Linked DNA regions of Caenorhabditis elegans. The protein of the gene in region 1 interacts with the protein of each later gene in a pairwise test. Each region holds a gene or a part of one and is shown on either strand. Other genes may lie near its edges.

What was found. Proteins that work in one complex are often made in the same cells at the same time.
Region 2: the proteins of itsn-1 (region 1) and tfg-1 interact in a two-hybrid assay, tested with the Caenorhabditis elegans proteins (3 studies listed by BioGRID).
Region 3: the proteins of itsn-1 (region 1) and rme-4 interact in a two-hybrid assay, tested with the Caenorhabditis elegans proteins (2 studies listed by BioGRID).

The regions. Positions count from the first base shown.
Region 1 is NC_003282.8:17,118,061-17,125,697, reverse strand, and holds the start of itsn-1 (Intersectin-1), read right to left. Parts: upstream 6,017-7,637; 5' UTR 6,015-6,016; coding exon 5,865-6,014; intron 5,814-5,864; coding exon 5,229-5,813; intron 4,746-5,228; coding exon 4,284-4,745; intron 4,137-4,283; coding exon 3,912-4,136; intron 3,872-3,911; coding exon 3,235-3,871; intron 2,454-3,234; coding exon 2,083-2,453; intron 1,497-2,082; coding exon 1,180-1,496; intron 280-1,179; coding exon 1-279. Other genes in the region: uaf-2 (Splicing factor U2AF 35 kDa subunit), read left to right, coding at 7,155-7,247, 7,299-7,633.
Region 2 is NC_003279.8:14,099,707-14,104,990, reverse strand, and holds tfg-1 (Protein tfg-1), read right to left. Parts: upstream 3,670-5,284; 5' UTR 3,626-3,669; intron 2,945-3,625; coding exon 2,764-2,944; intron 2,712-2,763; coding exon 2,566-2,711; intron 1,916-2,565; coding exon 782-1,915; 3' UTR 521-781; downstream 1-520. Other genes in the region: dnj-29 (J domain-containing protein), read left to right, coding at 72-197; tdpt-1 (5'-tyrosyl-DNA phosphodiesterase), read left to right, coding at 3,908-3,959, 4,023-4,097, 4,147-4,367, 5,040-5,134, 5,268-5,284.
Region 3 is NC_003284.9:10,372,712-10,379,502, forward strand, and holds rme-4 (UDENN domain-containing protein), read right to left. Parts: upstream 5,059-6,791; 5' UTR 4,900-5,058; coding exon 4,880-4,899; intron 4,832-4,879; coding exon 4,673-4,831; intron 4,610-4,672; coding exon 4,493-4,609; intron 4,053-4,492; coding exon 3,884-4,052; intron 3,841-3,883; coding exon 3,611-3,840; intron 3,190-3,610; coding exon 3,087-3,189; intron 3,042-3,086; coding exon 2,706-3,041; intron 2,655-2,705; coding exon 2,559-2,654; intron 2,305-2,558; coding exon 2,251-2,304; intron 2,204-2,250; coding exon 2,075-2,203; intron 2,033-2,074; coding exon 1,860-2,032; intron 1,297-1,859; coding exon 891-1,296; 3' UTR 521-890; downstream 1-520.

The DNA.
Region 1 (7,637 bases):
GGTTTTCCATTTCGAATCAGCTCGCCTTCCCACCAGCCGGCTGCTGATTTTTCACGAATTTTCACAATTTCGCCAACTTTGATTCCCAATTGATTTGGCGCCGATGCAACAAAATCCACGACAACTTTAGCTTCACAGAGGACGGTTGGTGGAGCCGCTGGAGTTGGAGCTTGAGTTGGTGGAGTCGGATCCCCTGCCTGCTGGACTGATATCTCGACATAGTTGGCTGGGAAGATACCCTCACGTCCGTTGCAACGCCCTTTCCACCATTCATCGTTTCTGAAATTATTTTTTGATTTAAATCACTGAAAATTGATATTTTTGTTTTGGTGTCAGTTTTTCAGTTTTTAAGTAATTTTTTTTTGGCTAAAAAACAAGTTTTTTGGGTTTTTGGGGTTTTTTTTAATATGAAGTTTTTTTGGAAAAAAAAGAGTATTTCGGTTTTTTTTTGCAAAAATTGGATTTTGTCGGGCTTTTTTTTAATTTTGTGGAGAAATTAATTTTTTTGAGAAAATATGCTTTTTTTGGTTTTTAAATTTAATTTTTTTTCGGTAAAAATTGTGTTTTTTGGAAATTGTTTTTTTTTCAGGGTTTTTTTTGACGAAAATGACACATTTTTGGCAAAAGTAAGAAAAATTGTGCCTTTTTTGAAAAAATAGCTTTTTAGGTTTTTTTAATGTTAAAAATGACACTTTTGGATTTTTTCTGAAAAAATCGGTTTAAAACAAAAAAAGTTTTATTGGTAAACATGACGCGTGTTTGGTTTTTTTTTTTGGCAAAACTGAGTTTTATGATTTTTTTTCTGGGGAAAAATGTATTTTTTAGCTGTTTTTGTTGCAAAAATGGAATTTTTTTGGTGTTTTTGGCAAAACGACACATTTTTGGATTTTTTTCTGACAAAAATTAGACTTTTTTGAAAAAAAAAAGGTTTTTTTGGACAAGAAATAGTTTTTTGAGGTTACTTTGCCAAAAATAGGGTTTTCCTTGCAAAATTGGAAACAATTATTTTAAAAATTTTGGGCTTATTTGGTTCAAAATGTAATAAATTGATACCCCGAAACCTTTCGTTTAAGCATAATAATAATAGCGCAAGAATACGAAAAGCTATCAAAAAAATGAAAAAATTCAATTCCAAATGAGCTCCTGTCAAGAGCAGCGAGAGCTCCTCTCTCCACTTACTTCTCGAGCACTAGAATTGTGTCACCGACATGCAGTGCCAAATCTGTTGTCTCGACAGCTTCAAAATCGTAGATCACAGTGTAAAGTTGTTGTTGGGGGGCTGTTTCGGAGGCTTGTAATGTCACATCGGAAGGTACCACGTCGTATTGAGCTCCTGCTGCTGCTCCTGGAGCTCCTGCAGAAGCCTTCGAAGGAGACACAATCGGAGTCGTGGTGCTGGTGGTTGCTCCGACTTCTTTCACATAACTTTTCGGGAACCATCCAATTTCGCCGGCAGGATTTCGACCTTTCCATTTCATTTCTTGCTTTTCTAGTACCTGAAATTAATGTTATTAGTTCGAGTTAAGGTGTACCTTCAAAAATCTAAAAAAAATAGTCTGAAATTCAAGAAAAATCGTGAAAAGAAGAAATGGGAATAAAATCCTAAATTTTTTTTCAAATTTTTGGAAAAATTCCCCAGAAACCACGCTCATTTTTTTGCTGAAAAATAGGTTTTTTTGGGGTAAAAAAGGTTTTTTTTGTTGAAAATTTGGGTTCCTTTGTTGATAAAAATGGGTTTTTTTTTGGTAGAAAACAGGTTTTTTTTTAGAAAAAAGAGTTATTATGGGGAAAATGGTTTTTTTTGGGAAAAAAGGTTATTTTATAAATCATACAATTTAGCTGAAAGATAGATTAAAAATCGATTTTTTCACCGAAAATCCAATTTTTTTTTCAAAAATTCGTCAAAATCACATTTTCAAGCTGTTTTTGCAGGAAAATAGGCTGAAAACTCCTAAGAATTGGCTTAAAACTTCAAATTTTTCAAATTTTCTGCCGGAAAACTTGTAAAATCTCATTTTTTTCAGGTTCAAGCTCAAGAATTTCAGACAATTTTTGGATTTTTCGCAGCAAAATGCTCTCCACCTCAATTGTATCTCCTTTTGCAAATGACAAATCCTCCTCATTACGTGCTCTCCATTGGAATTGTGCAATACATTGAGATATTACTGCTGCTGCTGCTGGAGCACTTGAAGCAGGTGGAGCACCACCTTCTGTCAATCCCATTGCCGCTGCGATTTCCGCTTTCCGCGCCGCTTTCACTCCAATTTGATCTACTGATGAGCTCGGCGTCATGTTTGGTGGCATATTCTGAATAGGTGGATCACCGCCTGGAGTAGGTACTGCTGCGATTGCTTCGACGAATGCTTCTGGGAACCATCCGACTTTCTCACGAAGTTGACCGGCACGCCATCCTGGTTCAGCTGCATGGGATTGGAAGACGATTATGACGTCTCCTAGAAGAAAAATAAATAAAAATTAACTTTTTCTCGAATTTTTGCCTTTTTTTTGTCAAAAATGACACTTTTTGTTAAGTTTTTTCTGACAAAAATTGGTATTTTTTGGGAAAAAAAGGGTTTTTTTTTCACAAAAACGGGGTTTTTAGGTAAACATTGATTAGTGATGGTTTTTTTTGTTGCCAAAAACGAAAAAATCCAAACTTTTTGAAAAATTTCAAAATTTTTTTGAAAAAACTGCGGAAAAATAGTTCTTTTTTCCAATAATTTTTCGTAAAAATTTAAAAATTCCTGAATTTTGGACGTTTTCTCCTACAAATTTCAAAATTTTTGGAATCATTTTCAGCTCAGTTTGAGAATTTTTGAGTAAAATTCCTTGATTTTAGTGGAATTTTGCAATTTTTCAGTTTTTTTTTTCGAAAAAATTCAAATTTTCTGAAATTTTTCACATCTTTTATGCATTTAATTTGTTTTCCATGCAACTATTTCAAAAATATTAAATAAGTCATTTTAAATGAGAGATAAGAATAAAAAAATTGAAATTTTCTTTTTTTTTGGCTTTTTTTCTGGAAAAACTCTTAAAAATTTTAGATAAATTCCTTGATTTTAGTGGAATTTTGCAATTTTTCAGATTTTTTTTTGGAAAAATTTAAAAATTCCTGAATTTTATGCCAAACTTTTTCTCCTACGAATTCCGAAATTTCGAGCTTTTTCCGGAGAAGCTCGTAAATCTACACAACAAAAGGCCATTTAAAGGGACATATTGCTGTTCGGACAGCACCTGGTTCAAAACTGAGCTCATCCTCGGATCTTGCTTCAAACGCAAAAAGAGCTCGACACTTATAAGTGTCATGAATATTGAACGCCGATTGATCAACAGCACCCTTCGAATGAGCTGGCGCCTGAGCAATCTGAGCAAATGGATCCGCTGTCGACGTGGCACCGAAATCCGCGTCGAAACGTTGACTTGCATCGGTTTTATCGAATTCTCCGAATGCATCGTTGAAGTTTGCAGGGAATCCGTTGGTGGTAGTAGGAGCTGGAGCAGGAGCAGGAGCTGGAGCAGCTGAAGCTGGAGCAGATTTCGCTTCAAATTCCCCAATTTTGCTCCTGGCATGTGTCTGAGCATGAACCAGAAGCTCAAACGAATTTCGATATTCTTCTCGTTTTGCGACAAGTTTCGAATAAACATCAGTCTTATACTTTTCCTTATTCGTCTTTAAAATCTCCGTCTGATTATACGATTTCTCTTTTTCTGTGGATAATTCCAGAGCGGCATCTTCTATAGCTTTTCGAATAGCATCTCGTTTCCTTCGCAGTGCTTCTAGTTCACTTTTTCTCTGCGTTGTCTCCTTGTGAGCCGACTGTTTTTGTAGAAGCTGATGGCCGAGTTCTTGAGATTCGATAGCTGTCTGGAACTTTTTTGGGTAATTTGCATATAGATTAAACGCGTATTACCTTCTGATTAGTCTCTTGTAATTCTTTAATTCTCGCGACTTTCTCGTCTCTCGTAGATCTCATTCTCTCAATAAATCCAGTCACTTCTGCTACTGCTTCTTTGGCTTTTCCAATGTCCACTTCAACATCGATAACCTTCTCATCAAGTGCTTGTAATTGAAATTGCAGCGTTTTTTCTCGTTGCTGACGTTGTGCAAGACGCTCGTTCTCTTGTTGCTTCTGGTTCTGAAATTAGGGATTTAAATTTGGTTTTTTTTTATCATGAGTAAATAAAATTTCTGTGTTCCAAAAGTTCAATTTTCAAAAGAAAAACTCAAAAAATCGCCTAGAATCCACATAAAAATTCCATTTTTTCTGTTCAGGCATCTGTACCTGCATCTGTTTAACTTTCGCCTTCTCCATTTGAACTTTTCTCATTTTCTCGTCCTCCTCTCTGCGTCTCTCCATCTCTAGCCTCCGCTTCTTCTCCTCTTCCTCCCGTTGAGCTTCAATTATTCTCTGTCTTTCTAGTTCAGCTTGCCGCTCAACTTCAGCCTGTCGTTCCTTTTCTTGTCTTTCTCTATTTTTCTTCGCTTCTTCTTCTCTCTCTTTCTTCTCTACTTCTGCTCGTCTTCGTTGCTCCTCTTCTTCAAGAACTCTACGTCGTCTCTCCAGTTCTGCCTGACCTTTAGATAGGTTATCCTGTCGCTTATCTTCAAAAGTTTTCGGAGCTGGTGACTTTTGTGGTGGCTCCGCTCCTGGTTCGAGTTCAGGGGTATTGTTGGCTGATCTTGATGAGATTCCGCACATCCGGACAAGTTCCAGCGGGGTTATTTTTGGAAGCGCGAATCCACTCTGAAAAAAAAATTTTTTTAAGTTTTTCAGCGGAAATTTTTATGGTGTTTCATGATTTTAGGGTATTTTCCGATTTTCGTACAGAAAAATTTGAAATTTTGAGATTTTTCAGCGTTTTAACATGAAATTTTGCTGAAAAAAACAAGCAAAACGTTGAAAAATCCTGTAAAATTCACTGAAAAACTATAATTCGTGAAGAAAATACAACCGTGCGGCAGTGTTGCGAAAACTCGCGCCGCATGTTGCAAAGTGGGAGGAGCGTCCACGTGGCTTGACTTTTTATTTTGAAATTCCAAGTTTTTGACAAATAAAATTGAAAATATTCCTTATTTTTGTTGAAAAAACATGAAAAATACAATATTTTCAGATGGAAAGAACCTTTTTCTACATTTTTATATCAATTTTAGATCAGAAAAGTTGGATTTTCATGGAAAAAGTGCAATTTTTGAATAAAGAGCTTCTGGCCGGTAACAAAACACATACTTTGAACATTTCAATCATATACTGAGAAATCGCATACTCATCCACTGATAGCTTTCCATCCTTATTCACATCTGACAAAAACCAGATATGCGCGAGAACATTGGTAGGAAGGCCTGAAAGCCCGAGAGCACTCCGTCCGACTTGTGAGCTCAGGGAGCCCAGACGTTCCTTGTCGAGAGCATTAAACAATTGAGAATATTTTAATTTATTGTGGTGAGGAATCGCCCAGTTTTCCAGCTGCCGGCCTTCGAAGACATTGCGATCATTATTCAAAGGGCTTCCAGCTGAAATCGAGTTGTGTCTGCTAGATGGAGTTCCGGCAATCGAAACCGGTGCAGATGGGATGTATGACTGCGACATTCGACGATCAATGGCCGGTGGAAGAGTTTGTGAGTAGTCTACACTGCCATGCCGGCTTCCAGGCCAGGTTGGTGGAGCATTTCTGGCGGGAACTACCAGCAGGGAAGGCGGAAGTTGCGGAGGAATCGGAATTCCGGCAAGACAATTCAGAGCAAGTCGCATCGCGATAGAGTATTCACGAATATCGAGCCGGCCGTCTTTATCCAAGTCTGACAGCGCCCAGATCTGGAAATTGTTTGAATAAAAACATTTTTTTTTTTAAAGTTTAATATCAACCTGAGAAAGCACTTGCGTTGGCAGATTGCTGCGCATTAGTGCATTTCGTGCAGTGACCGCATCCATAAACGGTTGTCCTCCGGTTAATTGGCCGAACATTGCGAAATTCTTCTGATATTCGGCATCGGAAACTTCCCAAGGATTTGTCATCTGGAGAACAGGGGATTTTTCGACAAAAAATGGGAATTTCGCAACAAAAAAGGGAAAAAACGAGCCATATTTTTCTAATTTAACTGGAAATTTATGCGAAGAATCAGCGAAAATGATGAAAAAACACATGTTTTTGGGCAAACAATAGATTTTTTTGAGCCGCTCCGCTCGCCAGCTGCGTCGCGGTCGTGGCCGTGGCCTAGGTTCCCTCTCGGCCATTTCTGTAAAAATTGGCCGCGGCGCGGCGCGGCCGGCGAGCGAGGCGGCTCAATAAAATGTAATTTTTTGGCTAAAATTCGTGATTTTTCCCTAATTTAGCTGGAAATTTCTATGTAAACTTCCCACGGATTTGTCAATTGGGGGTTTTTCGATTAAAAACGCTAAAAATGCGAATTTCGCAACAAAAAGAGAAAATGCGCCGAAATTTCTGTAAATTTGGATTCAGGAACTGAGAAATAAGAAGAAATAAGAAAGAGGCCAAGCGCCGCCGAAAGCTTATCGATTTTTGCGTGCCCCAAAAGAGGAGTGGTCCCCGAGAGCGCGCGGCGAGAGATGCAAGAGACGCAGAGAATTTTAAAGGAATCAAAAACCCCTTTTTTATATATTTAAAAAAATCAATGTTTTTTTTTTCATTTAAAACTTTGCATTTTAAGAACAAATTTTAGTTTTAGAGTGAAAAATCTCGTATTCTTGAGTTTTCTCCAAATAATTTTGAGCTCCAATTGATTTTTAAATGTTCTTTCAGCCTTGGTGCATGAATTAATCGGTATAATCGCGGAAAATTGAAGAGAAATTCACTTAAATTTCAACTTATTTATTAATCTCTGGTCATGGGAGAAAAAAAGAAAAATAGAGAAAACGCTAGAAAAACGCGCGCGCTCACCTTGCCGACGCTCGCCCCGCCCACAAAAGCGTGCCTCGTTGCGTTTTCGAATTTAGCAGGGCAGTTGGTTATTATTTCCATTTTCTATCTGTTTCAGGTTCGCAGTTTGTTTTTTGCATTGAATTCTTGATATTTTGAGTTTTACGTTGTATTCTGAAGTATTTCCGTCAGAATTTGTGTTTAAAAATCGTAATTCTCAGGGTTTTCCCGCTGAAATTGAATTTTTCGTCAAAAATCATTTTTTTTAGTGAATCCCAATGTCGTATGGTGACGGGCTCTCCGGAGCCGAGTACCTGGCCTCAATCTATGGTACTGAGAAGGATAAAGTCAATTGCTCGTTTTTCTTCAAGGTTTGTTGTGGATTTCTGTGAAAAAATTCAATAATTAAATAATTTTTGCAGACAGGAGCCTGCCGCCACGGAGACAAATGCTCCAGAGCCCATCATACACCGACATTCTCGCCAACAGTTGTGCTCAAAAACTTCTACCACAATCCGGTAGTGGATGTCCGTCAGGCGGATGCTTTCGATAAAGTCGGCAAGCGGAATGATCAGGAACAGCGCTATTTTGACGATTTCTACGAGGAGGTTTTTGTGGAGATGGAGCGAAAATATGGAGAAGTGGAGGAGATCAACGTTTGTGAGAATATCGGAGAACACATGGTCGGAAACGTATACGTCAAATTTATGAAGGAAGAGGACGCCGAGAAAGCAAAGAATGATTTGAATAATCGATGGTGC
Region 2 (5,284 bases), on another chromosome or scaffold:
TCTCCTCAAAAAATCCATTTTCGACACAAAAAGCAGCAAATTTCTCAACAATAAATTCAAAATTATTGCAGATCGACGTGAAAGAGGCGAAATTCGTCGAAATCAAGCACGACGACTACGTGGATGAGGACGATGAAGCCGTCGAAGTGTCGTCGGACGATGATTATACAGAAGACGATGACTCGGATGAAGAGTAGCGAAATGCTCCAACAATTGCTCTCCAAATTATTCGTTAATTTATTTTTCAATTTTTCTTCAGTGGCCCCCCATTGTTCTCCCGCACTTTTCTCCAAAAAAATTTCAATCAATTTCTCTACTGGGTTTTCTGTTCTTCTAAAAGTAATTAAATTAAATATTTTATTTAAAAAAATTTGTATGTTTTCGTGTTCCCTATGCATTATTATTTCTATTCCCTTCCCACCAATCACATCACTTTTGAAAATGTTTCCTCTACATAGTTACATGAAATTTAGACCCTTTTTTCTATGCTTCAATTAAAAAGAATTTCAGAGACAGGAGCCCGAGATTTTTTAAATTCATATCATAAATATTATATACCACTAAAAAAAGGAGAAAGAGAGAGAGAAGACGACAAGAATTGATGTGAATTCCACGTGGAAAAGAGAAAAGGCGCTCCAGCGCTATATCACAAGGAAACAGGGGCGAGCGAGTAGAAAAGGAAACTTGTACACTAGGGGGGAAGGACGGGGGAAAACATAAAATATTTAAATTATGGGAATCAAACAAACAAAGAAGAAAACATCAATAAATTATCGATTAATTACTGCTGATACGGCGACTGGCGGTATCCCGTGGCAGATGGTCCTCGTGCGAATGGATTTCCTCCCGGGGCTCCGGCGGCTCCCGGTGGCGGTGCTCCGACTGGTGGGAATCCGGTTGGCGGTGGTCCGTAGGCTCCTGGGCCTCCTGGAGGTGGTGGTCCGAATCCTCCTGGGCCTCCTTGTGGTGGTCCGTACGATCCTGGGGCTCCTGGGCCTCCTGGCGGTGGTGGACCGTAGCCTCCTGGGCCTCCCGGCCCCTGTGGTGCTCCGAAGGCGGATGGTGGTGGAGCAAAAGCGCCCGGTGGTCCCGATTGTGGTGGAGGGGCAAAGTTTCCTGGAGCACTTGATACTGGCGGCGGTGGCCCTCCGAACGATTGTGGTGATGGAGCATGGAATTGCTGGGGTGGTGGAGCTCCGAAGGATCCTTGTGGTGGTCCTCCCTGTGGTGGCCCTTGTGGCGGTGCTCCAAATCCTTGCTGGGGAGCTCCCTGCGGTGGTGGGGCTCCGAATTGCTGCTGCTGCTGCTGTGGTGGAGCATATCCTCCATACTCTGATGGTGGTCCAGACGGTGGTGGCCCGCCAAACTGCTGCGGTGGAGCAAATCCTTGCTGCTGCACTGGAGTCGACGAGATCGAAGAGTGCGACGCCATCGGTGGTGGTGGAGCCTGGAATTGTTGCTGCTGCTGCTGTGGAGGCGGTGGAGCAAACTCCTGAACTGGTGGGCTCGCCGCATTCGACGTTGGGAACGACGGGATCGTCGCGTTCGGTGGCGGAATCGCTCCGAATTGCTCAATTGGTGGCGGTGGCTGGGAGCTGAAGCTAGTGTTCAGATCATCGGGAATTTGCTGATGTGGTGGTGGAGCATAGTGATTCTCCAACGGAATCTCCTCCTCAACGTGCGCCGGGCGATGATTGAATTGCTCGTGAACCGACGGTTGGATCGTCGCCGGGAGCTCGGCCTTCTCGGAAGGCACTGGCGATGGTGGAGCCGCTTCGAAGCTCTTTTGGAACACAATATTGTCGTGGTGAGATTGTTTTGGAGCCGAGAGATTCGCCACCGATGTGTTCGATTGTTCGGCGATCTGGGCAACGTCGAGAGCACTGAGAGCGCCAAGAAGCTTTCCAACATCAAGCTGAAAGAAAAATTGAATTAAAATTCGTTTTTCGCTAGCTGTAGTACTAGAAATTCCAATTTTTAGCCATTTTGTGTTAAAAATATTGAAAAAAAAAACCGATTATTTGGATAATTTTGTTTAAAAATCAATGAAAACGCTGAAATTTCTCCAATTTTTCAGTGAAAAACCAAAGATTTTGTGAATTTTAAAAACAAAATTGGTTGAGGCTCACACTATAAACAAAAAAAAGCTGCATAGCCTCACTCAAGCTTTAGCTAATTTGGTTGAGGCTAAAGCTACAAACTACAAAATCACCATAGCCTCACTCAAGCTTTAGCTAATTTGGTTGAGGCTAAAGCTACAAACTACAAAATCACCATAGCCTCACTCAAGCTTTAGCTAATTTGGTTGAGGCTAAAGCTACAAACTACAAAATCACCATAGCCTCACTCAAGCTTTGGCTAGTTTGGTTGAGGCTCACACTACAAACTACACTTGTTTCTTAGCCTCAACCAACATTTTTCAGTGTTTTTCCGGATTTTTTTTTGTCTAAAAAGCTCAAAAATGCAGCATTTTCGATGAAAATTCTGCAACATTTTGCATTTTCCCGCTCAAAATTGCGCTTTTCAGCTCAAAAATCGTTTTTTTTCGCTCAAAATCCTCCTTACCTTAATCTGCTCGACTTGCTTCTGCACATCGTGCACAGCCTCACGAGCTCTCGAGTCGACAACGACGGTCACGTCGAGCGTGGCTCCAGACGTGTGAAGAGCCAGCAGGAGGTCGCTATCCTCGGCGAGTGTCACCAAATCGCCTTCTAAAATTGACAAAAATTGAATTAAAATCGCAATTTTCAGTGCAATTCCTACCTTCATCCTTGTACTTCAACACGAAATTCGCGTCGGATGGGAGAGCCAAAAGCCGCTGCACATTGAGCACGAGATCGATGAGTGTCAAGTCGTTGGCGTGGTGAAGTGACGTCTTGCGGACGACGTCGGCGTGACGAGCCTTCAGAATTGTGCTCGTGATGGCTCCGTTTGAATGCACCATCTGGAAAAAACGGGGGTTTTTTAAAGGGAAAATTGGGTTTTGCGGGAGAAAAAGAAAGAAAAAAGCAAAAAAAAACCGGCGAAAATCAACTAGAAATCAAGAATTAAACACAGAATCCGAATTTTGGTGAGGCTCAGGCTACAAACTACGAAATTGGCTCAGCCTCACCCAAGTTTATCCGGAGCTCATATTTTTACGAAAATTTTGGATTTTCATGTGTTTTGACAGGAAAATTCGACTTTTTAGTTGAAATTCGACCTAAACGAGATCAAAGTTTCAAAATTAGAGCGGGAGTAGGCCAAAAATATGGTTTCATCGATTTTTAGGCGATTTTCCTATCGAAAATCTAAATTTTCGGCTCTAAAACCCACTTGAAACGCTATTTTCTAAGATTTTAAAGCAAGAAACCGGCAGAAATCAAGAAATAAAATAGTTCCACGTGTAATATAATAAAGCAATTCCATCGGAATCTCTAGATTTTCGCGGGTTTTCGGTATAAAAATCGGGATATGGCACATAAAATAAGTAAAGATCACGAAAATAGATCAAAATCTTCAAGATAATATTGAAAAAATTGCGAAACTAGGTCTAAAAAAATTCCACACGGATTTTCATCGTTTTTTGCCGGTTTTCTGGGGTTTTTTTATGGTGAAAATATCGATTTTAACCTCTAATACTCACTTTTCTTGCTATTTTTATGGATTTTCTGCAAGAAAACCAAGGAAAAATGGGAAAATAACGGGAAGAAAAACGATCCAAATCCGCGATATAAAATTCCACGTTCGGTAAAAGTGCGCCGCAGTTGCAACACGCGTGCCAGGATTGCAAATAGGGTACGCCCCCCGGCTAGACTCCGCCTTTTCAGTTATTCTTTTCGCGATTTTTTGAATTTCAATAGTTATCGTGTGGATTTTTCGCGTTTTCTGAAAAAATATGATAAAATCCTCTAATTTCAGCTCAAAAATGTCGAATTCTGACGATGAAATACAGGAAATTGAGGCTAAACGACAGAAAAGTAAGGCTTTGCAGCTGGAAATTCAAAATATTTGAATTTTAAATCAAATAAAATATATTTCAGTGTCCCAAGAAGATTCCGAGGTCGAAATCGAGATTCTAGATGAGCCGGAGCAAGGAAAACTGAAAAATTCGTCGAGTAAACCCGAAAAATCAATAAATTAAGGCGAAAATCCGCGATTTTTCAGTGAGCGACGAGCAAAAACTGCATGAATTTGCAATAATCACGGCCACAGATGAGGCTTTTGCGCAGTCGATTTTACAGGATGTAGACTGGGATTTGAAGAAGGCTCTGGACGTTTTTTACGGGAGTGAGGCGTTCGCAGAGGCCAGAAGTGCGGCCGTAATGGGCGCTTCATCGTCTATGGCGAGCTCTGGAGCTGCGGTGATGACGGCAGAGGATTTGAAGGTTAATAGAAGAATATTTGGAGCAAAATCAAGCCAAACCACCTAAAAACATCGATTTTCGAGTTAAAAAACCTCAAAAATGCTGCAATTTCCGTAAAATTTCAGTGATTTTTCACAGAAATCATTGAAAATTTGAAAAAAATCACTTTTTCAACCGGAATTCCGAAAAAAAAAATTGGTTGAGGCTCAGGCTACAAACTACAAAATCGGCCGAGCCTCACCAAAAATTTCCAAAGCGAAATCTGGCGAAAATACTTGAAATTTTCCTCATTTTTTATCAAAAAAACTAAAATTTCCATAAATTTTCATAGATTTCCTTCAAAAATCAGTAGAAAAACTAAAAAAAAATCACGCTTTCAACCGGAATTCCGAAAAAAAATTGGTTGAGGCTAAGACTACAAACTACAAAATCGGTATAGCCTCACCAAACATTTCCGAAGCATAATACTCGAAATTTCCCTCATTTTTCTTCAAAAAAGCTCAAATTTCCATAAAATTTCATGAATTTCCTTCGAAAATCTTTAGAAAAACTGAAAAAAATCACGCTTTTAACCTGAATTCCGAAAAAAAAATTGGTTGAGGCTAAGACTACAAACTACAAACTCGGCTTAGCCTCACCAAAAAAAAATTCACTTTTTTCGCGATTTTTCCAACAAATTTCAAATTTTTTCAGGGATTCGAAGTCAGCGTAATGTCGTGGAACATTGATGGGCTCGACGGGAGAAGCTTGCTCACAAGAATGAAAGCAGTGGCTCATATTGTCAAAAAGTGAGCAAAATCGGCGATTTTTCACGGAATTTTCAAATTTTTAGTTGATTTTGATGCAAAATCAGCAAAAAAATCACTAAAAACCGTCAAAAATCTTCAAAAATCAACCTGAAACGCCAAAAAAAAATTTCAGCGTCAATCCGGACATCC
Region 3 (6,791 bases), on another chromosome or scaffold:
AAAAGAGAAATAATATAGAAATCATTGAGTGAGAGAAGCTAGACGGTCGCAAAAGGCAGCAGACGGCAGGGGCCCCAGGAAGGGGAAGAGCGGAGGAGACGAGGACGGCCATCTGTTAATATGCAGGAGAAATAGTGTTATGATGCAGGGTAGTCGTAGATACGTTTGGTTCACTTTTCCAATATATTGTAAATACTGTGAAAATTGTCAAAGCATAATATTTTTTCCATTTAAAATTATGGGATATTTTCCAAAGTCTCAAAAGTTTTATAGCGCCAGTTGGGATAACTTTTTTGAAATCTAAAAAAAACGATTTTATCCTTTCAACTGAATTATTTTTGTCACAAAAGATCTATTTCAAATATTTACCGTATTGACGCTACTCCATTCAAAAATTAAAACAAAAAAAATTAAATGGAAGCTGTCCAGTATATTGTAGTTTTTAAGTACTTTCGATAGATGCTAAAATAAGTGAGTAAATTGAAATAAATTGAAATAATAACATAAACTGAATGAAAAGTCACCCAACATTATTGTTTATTCCAAACCAGAAAAATAAATAAATATATACTTTTGACAAGAAAAAGTTAGAATGCCGGCATTCGATGACAATTTGATTTGACAAGTTCCTTTGGATTTTTGAAAAATATATACTTAAACAAAATGAATAAAATGACTGAATTATCGTTGTGACTTCAGTCTCGCAGGAGTACAAGGAACAAACGATTAAAAAATATGAGAATATGGAAAAACAAAATAATTTGACTAGTGGGAAGGGGGAAAGAAATGGGTTAAATTTATGAAAGTAACCATACGACTCTAGCCATAGAAACTCAAATTTCATACACATAAATAATTTGTTTTTCATTTTGTTATCACATGATTGTATTCTACTCGAAAGTTTCCCATTTGCTCCGAACCGGAGGAGGGGGGACTCGTATTGCTGAACTAGTGGCAAAAGCAGTTGCTGGTTGCCCTGACGATGTGCTCGATGGGCCAACTGATGCAGGTCGTCGGGGAGGTAGCGGCGGAGGAGCATACCAATCGGGTGCAGATGGGTTCATCGCTGATGGTACGCTTCCTACTTGGCTGACTTGTGCCCACTGATGGCTTTGTTGAAAATGGAGTAGGTGAGGTGCTGATGATCCACTTGGAGAGATTGACTGGACCGATGAGCCAGGAATCATGCGAGGATGTAGAGGTGGTGGGGGTCGAGAGGGCAATGGAGGCGCCGAGCCTTCTGGTGACGTCGCAAATGGGTCGGCAAATACGTTTCCTATTGCTCCAGATGGCGACCTGAACATTTGTAAAATAATTAACTGATTTGCGAATAACATAGTAACAGATTTGGTTTTCAAATTACCAGGTTTTGGCAATACATACATGTTTTATATCTTGATCAAGATTACTATACAAAATGTACCAGCATGTACAAGCACCAGCATTTCAAGCACCAGCTTGAAATGAAATTTTTTTTAATTCTTTTTAGTTATGAAACTATTTTTGAAACGGTGTTAGAAAACCAAATCATCAGAAGTTATCAAATGCATTAGACTTCTCATTGGACACACTGCAATTTTTTTGATCCTCGTTATATTTGAACAAAGTATGATTTTTGTTTATAAGGCGACATTACTTTTTATTCTACATATAAGCAATTATGAGATTTCCGAGCGTTTCCAAAATACTTCTACCTAGACAGAAACAGCCAGAAGCTTATAGATTAAAAGTGGATTAAACTCAGGCAGGCGCACAACGAACAGATAATTGTTGGTTGCCAGAAAAATAGAGCGAAAAAGTTCTACAAAGAGCCACAGCGTTATACTTTTTCTGGGTTGATTATTTGATCAAATACTCACTTGCGGTTGTTAGTTGCAAGTTCGGAGGGACGAAGAAAGTACTGTTCATCCACTGATGTAAGCCCAGACGCAGAACTTGTAGAAGGTTCATCCAAATCAATGAGGTTGGCTACTGGAACATTGTCCATCCTTGTTTCCACCGGGAAGCCCTCGTTTTCGTCACTTTTCTGGAACTATTCAAAAATATTAATACATTCTGTTATTTTCTAACAAACCGTTGCATCCCATTGTAGGTTATCAAAAGACATTGGCGACTGCTCAAATCCATTTTGATTGTGTGCTTTTTTTCTTGCCGCTGCTTTTCGTATTTCCCGAGGCGTTAGTTTCTGGAGACGATTTGCAATCTAGAAATTTGAATGTTTCAAATAACTTAAAATGGGTTGAAAAATACTTGTATTCCAGAAGTTTTCAATGCTCCGATGACGTCATTGGCATTCTCCTTGACCTGGAAAATCTTTTCAATTGCATTAAAAATTAGATGCCGAACAAGTTAGAAAATTTTTCAAAAGTCATGCACTTGGTTAAACTGAAAATCAAGTTGCTGAGATACTGTTTGACAACACGAATCTTACTGATTGCACCGTAGTATGCACCATTGGCTCATGATGATTTAGCTGAATGTTGGAATATGTCCGCACACTCGACGAGTTAACGTCATTGCGTTATACAAGCTATGATAACATTTGCTTCATCACTTACCGGCCGGTTTTTCAGATCCATCTGTTCGATTTCAATTTCGAACTGGTCTCCTGGCACGTGTCCGTCTTTGTACAATTCTAATCGGTCGTGGATGAACTAAAATATTTAATTATTGCGACTTATCAATATGCTTGTGCGGAAACTCACTCTTTCTAGGTACTGCACACCATCCGCACCTAATAGTGATGATACGTATGCTTGGTAGGATGGTTTTTGTTGCACCACAAACCGCTCTTTGGAAAAAACCAGAGTTTCAGGCGTATCACCAGTAAATCCACTTGTGTAGTCACCAAACAGCATAACCATAGCTCGTAAGAAGTGCTTTGCAAAAGTGTCATCCATTGCTGACTGCGACCGAAGTTGTGCTTTCAAAAAGTTTACAACTTCTTGAGGCATTGCTGCTACATCATCGAATGGGCTTGTTAACGTCTTCTCGTCAATATCAACAATCACCACTTCGCCGATGTCTCTTATATTCAGCCTCTTAAATAAAATACAATATTGGGACATCTATTCGAATTCACAAACCGCATTTTCCAAAACAGTTTTTGGAACGCCTATCAAGTATGGCATTGGTGCCATTACCATGTCGACGAGAGACTCGGGAAGAATTGTGATAAAAACTGATTGCCTGAAATATACATTGAAGTACATTTTAGAAAATTTAATAGCTTTTCAATAAGCGTCCTCATCATTGAGTTCAGAATTTTTGTTCCTAAAACTATGATTAAATACAGTCGCAAGACCAAATGTTTCGTGATGTTAATGTTGAATTCAAATTTTTCACCAAGTACTTTCAAGATTGTTTAAGAGAAACTTGAATTCTATGTATATGCATCACTAAATAATATAACAAGTTATCTTATACTGTATACCCTTTTACATTGCTTTTGATTTTTATTTCTTAACCACGATTTCTTATTACGTGGTATTACGTACTTTGTTTTAGTTTCTTAGTTATCTCAGAACTGCTATCACAGAACTGCGATTGCAATGCCTCTTGCTACCAATATTTATGTAAACATTTTTGTTAGAAATTTTATATTACTCACCAACACATTGGGTAGAGAAGCATCGAGACCGCATGGAGACATGAACTCAACGATCCAACTTTCCGCCCAGTAAACAGAATACGACGTTCTTTCAGTAGACTTGCAAAGATTGCTAACATCTGCCGAGGGTCGATGGCGTTGTAGAACTCGAGGAAAAACTTATCCGAGCCAAGAGTTGGTAATCGCGTGTGATCGGGAATTTTTTCAGCAAACACTACTCGATAGTTGTGCTGAGAAAATATTGCACATTTAGATATAAACTAAGGTTCTTACTCCATCTGTTTGATTACTATCAGCAAATCGTAAATATTCGTCAATATTTGGAATATCTGTGTGATAGAATTTGGTGAGCACTGATTCAACATCTTCCCTTTGCGCTGAACCTATCACCAAAGAAATATCGTTAAGAGCTTTGAAGAAGACATTTGGCCAGAAGAATCCACTGTAAAATATTCATATTTTTAAAGAGACATTTTTCTGACTACTTCTCTACTCTTTTCTACCGCCTTTTTTTAAAGCATATTTTAGTTCCAAGCAAACGGTTTTGTATTTTTTTTTAAGTTCTTGTGATAATAATGTTCACCATCACAAATCGTTTTCTTTTTTAAAATATTGCAATCATATTCGTCATCCTATCCTACGCGTTTAACATTCTTTTCATTTTTTCGCATCACACAACAACAACAACAGTTAAAAGTCACAAGAAAAAACGAACTCTGTTTTGTTCTTTTTTTCGTTAACGTTTTTGCAAGAGTTTATTTAAAAGGAATAGAAAAGAAAACGAAATATGATACTTCTCCTCTGCTCTTCAGGACTCATTTTCCCATGACAAAACCAAACGACGGCTATTTGTCAAAAGTAATGATGGAAAATCACTCTCACCTCAAGAAGCAGATGCACGTGTCGGTTCTTGGTGTATAACGGCAAAATCCAAACGAGAATTTGGAGTTCGAATCGGTTAGAACAAAACTGAATAATTGCACTGCGTCGACTTCTACTCTGAAATATTATAAAAACATTTTAATTCCATACCAATTTAGTTTTTTTTTAACAATTACGTACTCTCGTAGTTGACATGGAAATGCAAACTGTTGAACACTTTTCACAATAGCTGGATCGTGGAAATCGTCGGGATACTGGAGTCTTAAAATAGCAAGCTTTTCGCCAGGTTTCGGGGCATCAAGTTCGCAGAAGACGTCGTACAGGGTGGCCACGTCAGCTCTGAAAATATATTCTAAAAATGGATTGAACATTTCACAACAATCTCACCTGTATCTTCCATAGGTCATATGTGAAAAATTAAAGCCAATTGGGAGATGGAACCAACGGCAGAGAAGAGATCTAGAGATCGAAGACAATTGTTAAATTGAATTGAAGGTTAGCTTCAGCCACCCAACTGGGAACAAACGGACTGAAAACTGCTGGGCGGCGACAGCAGGAAACACTTGCAATATTACAATAAAAAGAACGGAAAACGAAAACTGCGTTAAAAGAAGACTGCTGGCGCGTTTCTCTTTGTGAATTCAGCTGACACGCGACTGAACGACAAAAAGAGGAGGGCGAGGAGAGACTACAGCAATAGAAGAGAAGGAAAAGAAACATGGAAAAAATGAAGAGCGAACAAGGCGTGAGAATGAATGGGATAAAATTAGTGACATAAATTTAGAAATAGAGGATGGAGTAAAGAAGAAAAATGGGTGCTGCCACCAAAAGCATCACATAAGAATCAAGAAATGTTACTATTCAGACTACTGGGTAACAATACCAAGAAAAAAAGAAACATGTGTCTTTTTTTTTAGTATCGCGCAGTCCTGTGACGGATGAGGAAAATAGAGCTGTCAAATGGAATGAGAAATGGGCTGTTGAAAAGGAGAAAACAGAATACTGAATTTCGTTGTGTTTTTCAGAATTTGATAACATACAGAGTTTAACTGTAGGCTACTTTGTGTATTTTAAATTACATATTTTTAGGGGTTTCAAGTTAAAAAGCGGATTTGTAGATTTTTGTTTTTTTGTTTTTTTGTTCGTTTTGTTCAAATTTTTGATCAAATTTTCGTTAGTTTTGAATATTATATCAAACTGCTAAACTTGGAAACATTGAAGTTCAAAAAAAATGGGAACATAAAATTTATTGGTTAAAGAAACAAATACTTTTGACTCAATAAAAGTATTTTCTTAAATAAATTCCGCTACCTATCTATTTTAAAACAATAAGGCTTTCAAACATGTTTTGCTTGCTTTTCTCATTGTTGATATTTTCTATGTTAACGTTACATAAATTTGACGGTCCTAATGAGCAATCTTTTTTTCATAAATGCCAGAAAACTTAACTTCCAAAAGCCGAACTCTATCTGCAAAAACTGAACAGTTTGTTGTCATCTAATGTTTTTTTTCTGGAAGAAAAAGAGTCTAGTCACTGATAGGAATGAAAAGACGCAGAGAATGTGCATGCACAGTTTGTAGAGGGATAAGACTGCAATCTATTTCTGACATTGCAAGCGAGAGAACGTTGTGCTCATATAATAAGAGAGAAATAGCCCATCTAAGCGATTTGTACGAGAAAAAAGTGAAGAAGTTTAAGAAACATGGACATATGATTTTGAATGTCTATGCAAAAAACGACTTATCAAGTCAAATTTATTGTAAAATTTACTTTTCAAATTAAAAGAAAAATAACCTAGAAAACTACAAAAATGCGAATTAAAAAAGTTCACTTCAAATCGGGACGAGTTTATGTAGTGCGTATTTCCCGCCGTCAGGTGGGGACACTGTGCAATGAAAAGAGGAGGAAAGATAGACGAAATGAATAAACACAGTGACGAATCGATAAATGCTACGAGAGTCTGAATGGTCTTGTTACGACAATAGAACGCCTTGCTCACCCTTTCCTTCTTCAAATGACATCTATAGTACCTGCTGAGAAGACTTACCACCGGCTTGTGTTCCACGTTCTGTTTGTTACTCACAATTGCTAAGCAACATGATGCTTTGTCTTGGAAATGGGACCGTGAGAGCTGTCCCTGGAAACCAGAAATTCAGGAGTAGTAGTGGAAAGTTGAATAGTTTTTTTTAGTGTGGGGTACGAAATACAAAATACAATTTCAAGTTTCCAAAAATTCAAAAATAAGAGAATACTGGTTAAAATGTATAAGTCCCAAACTACAATTTCACTACAAACCGA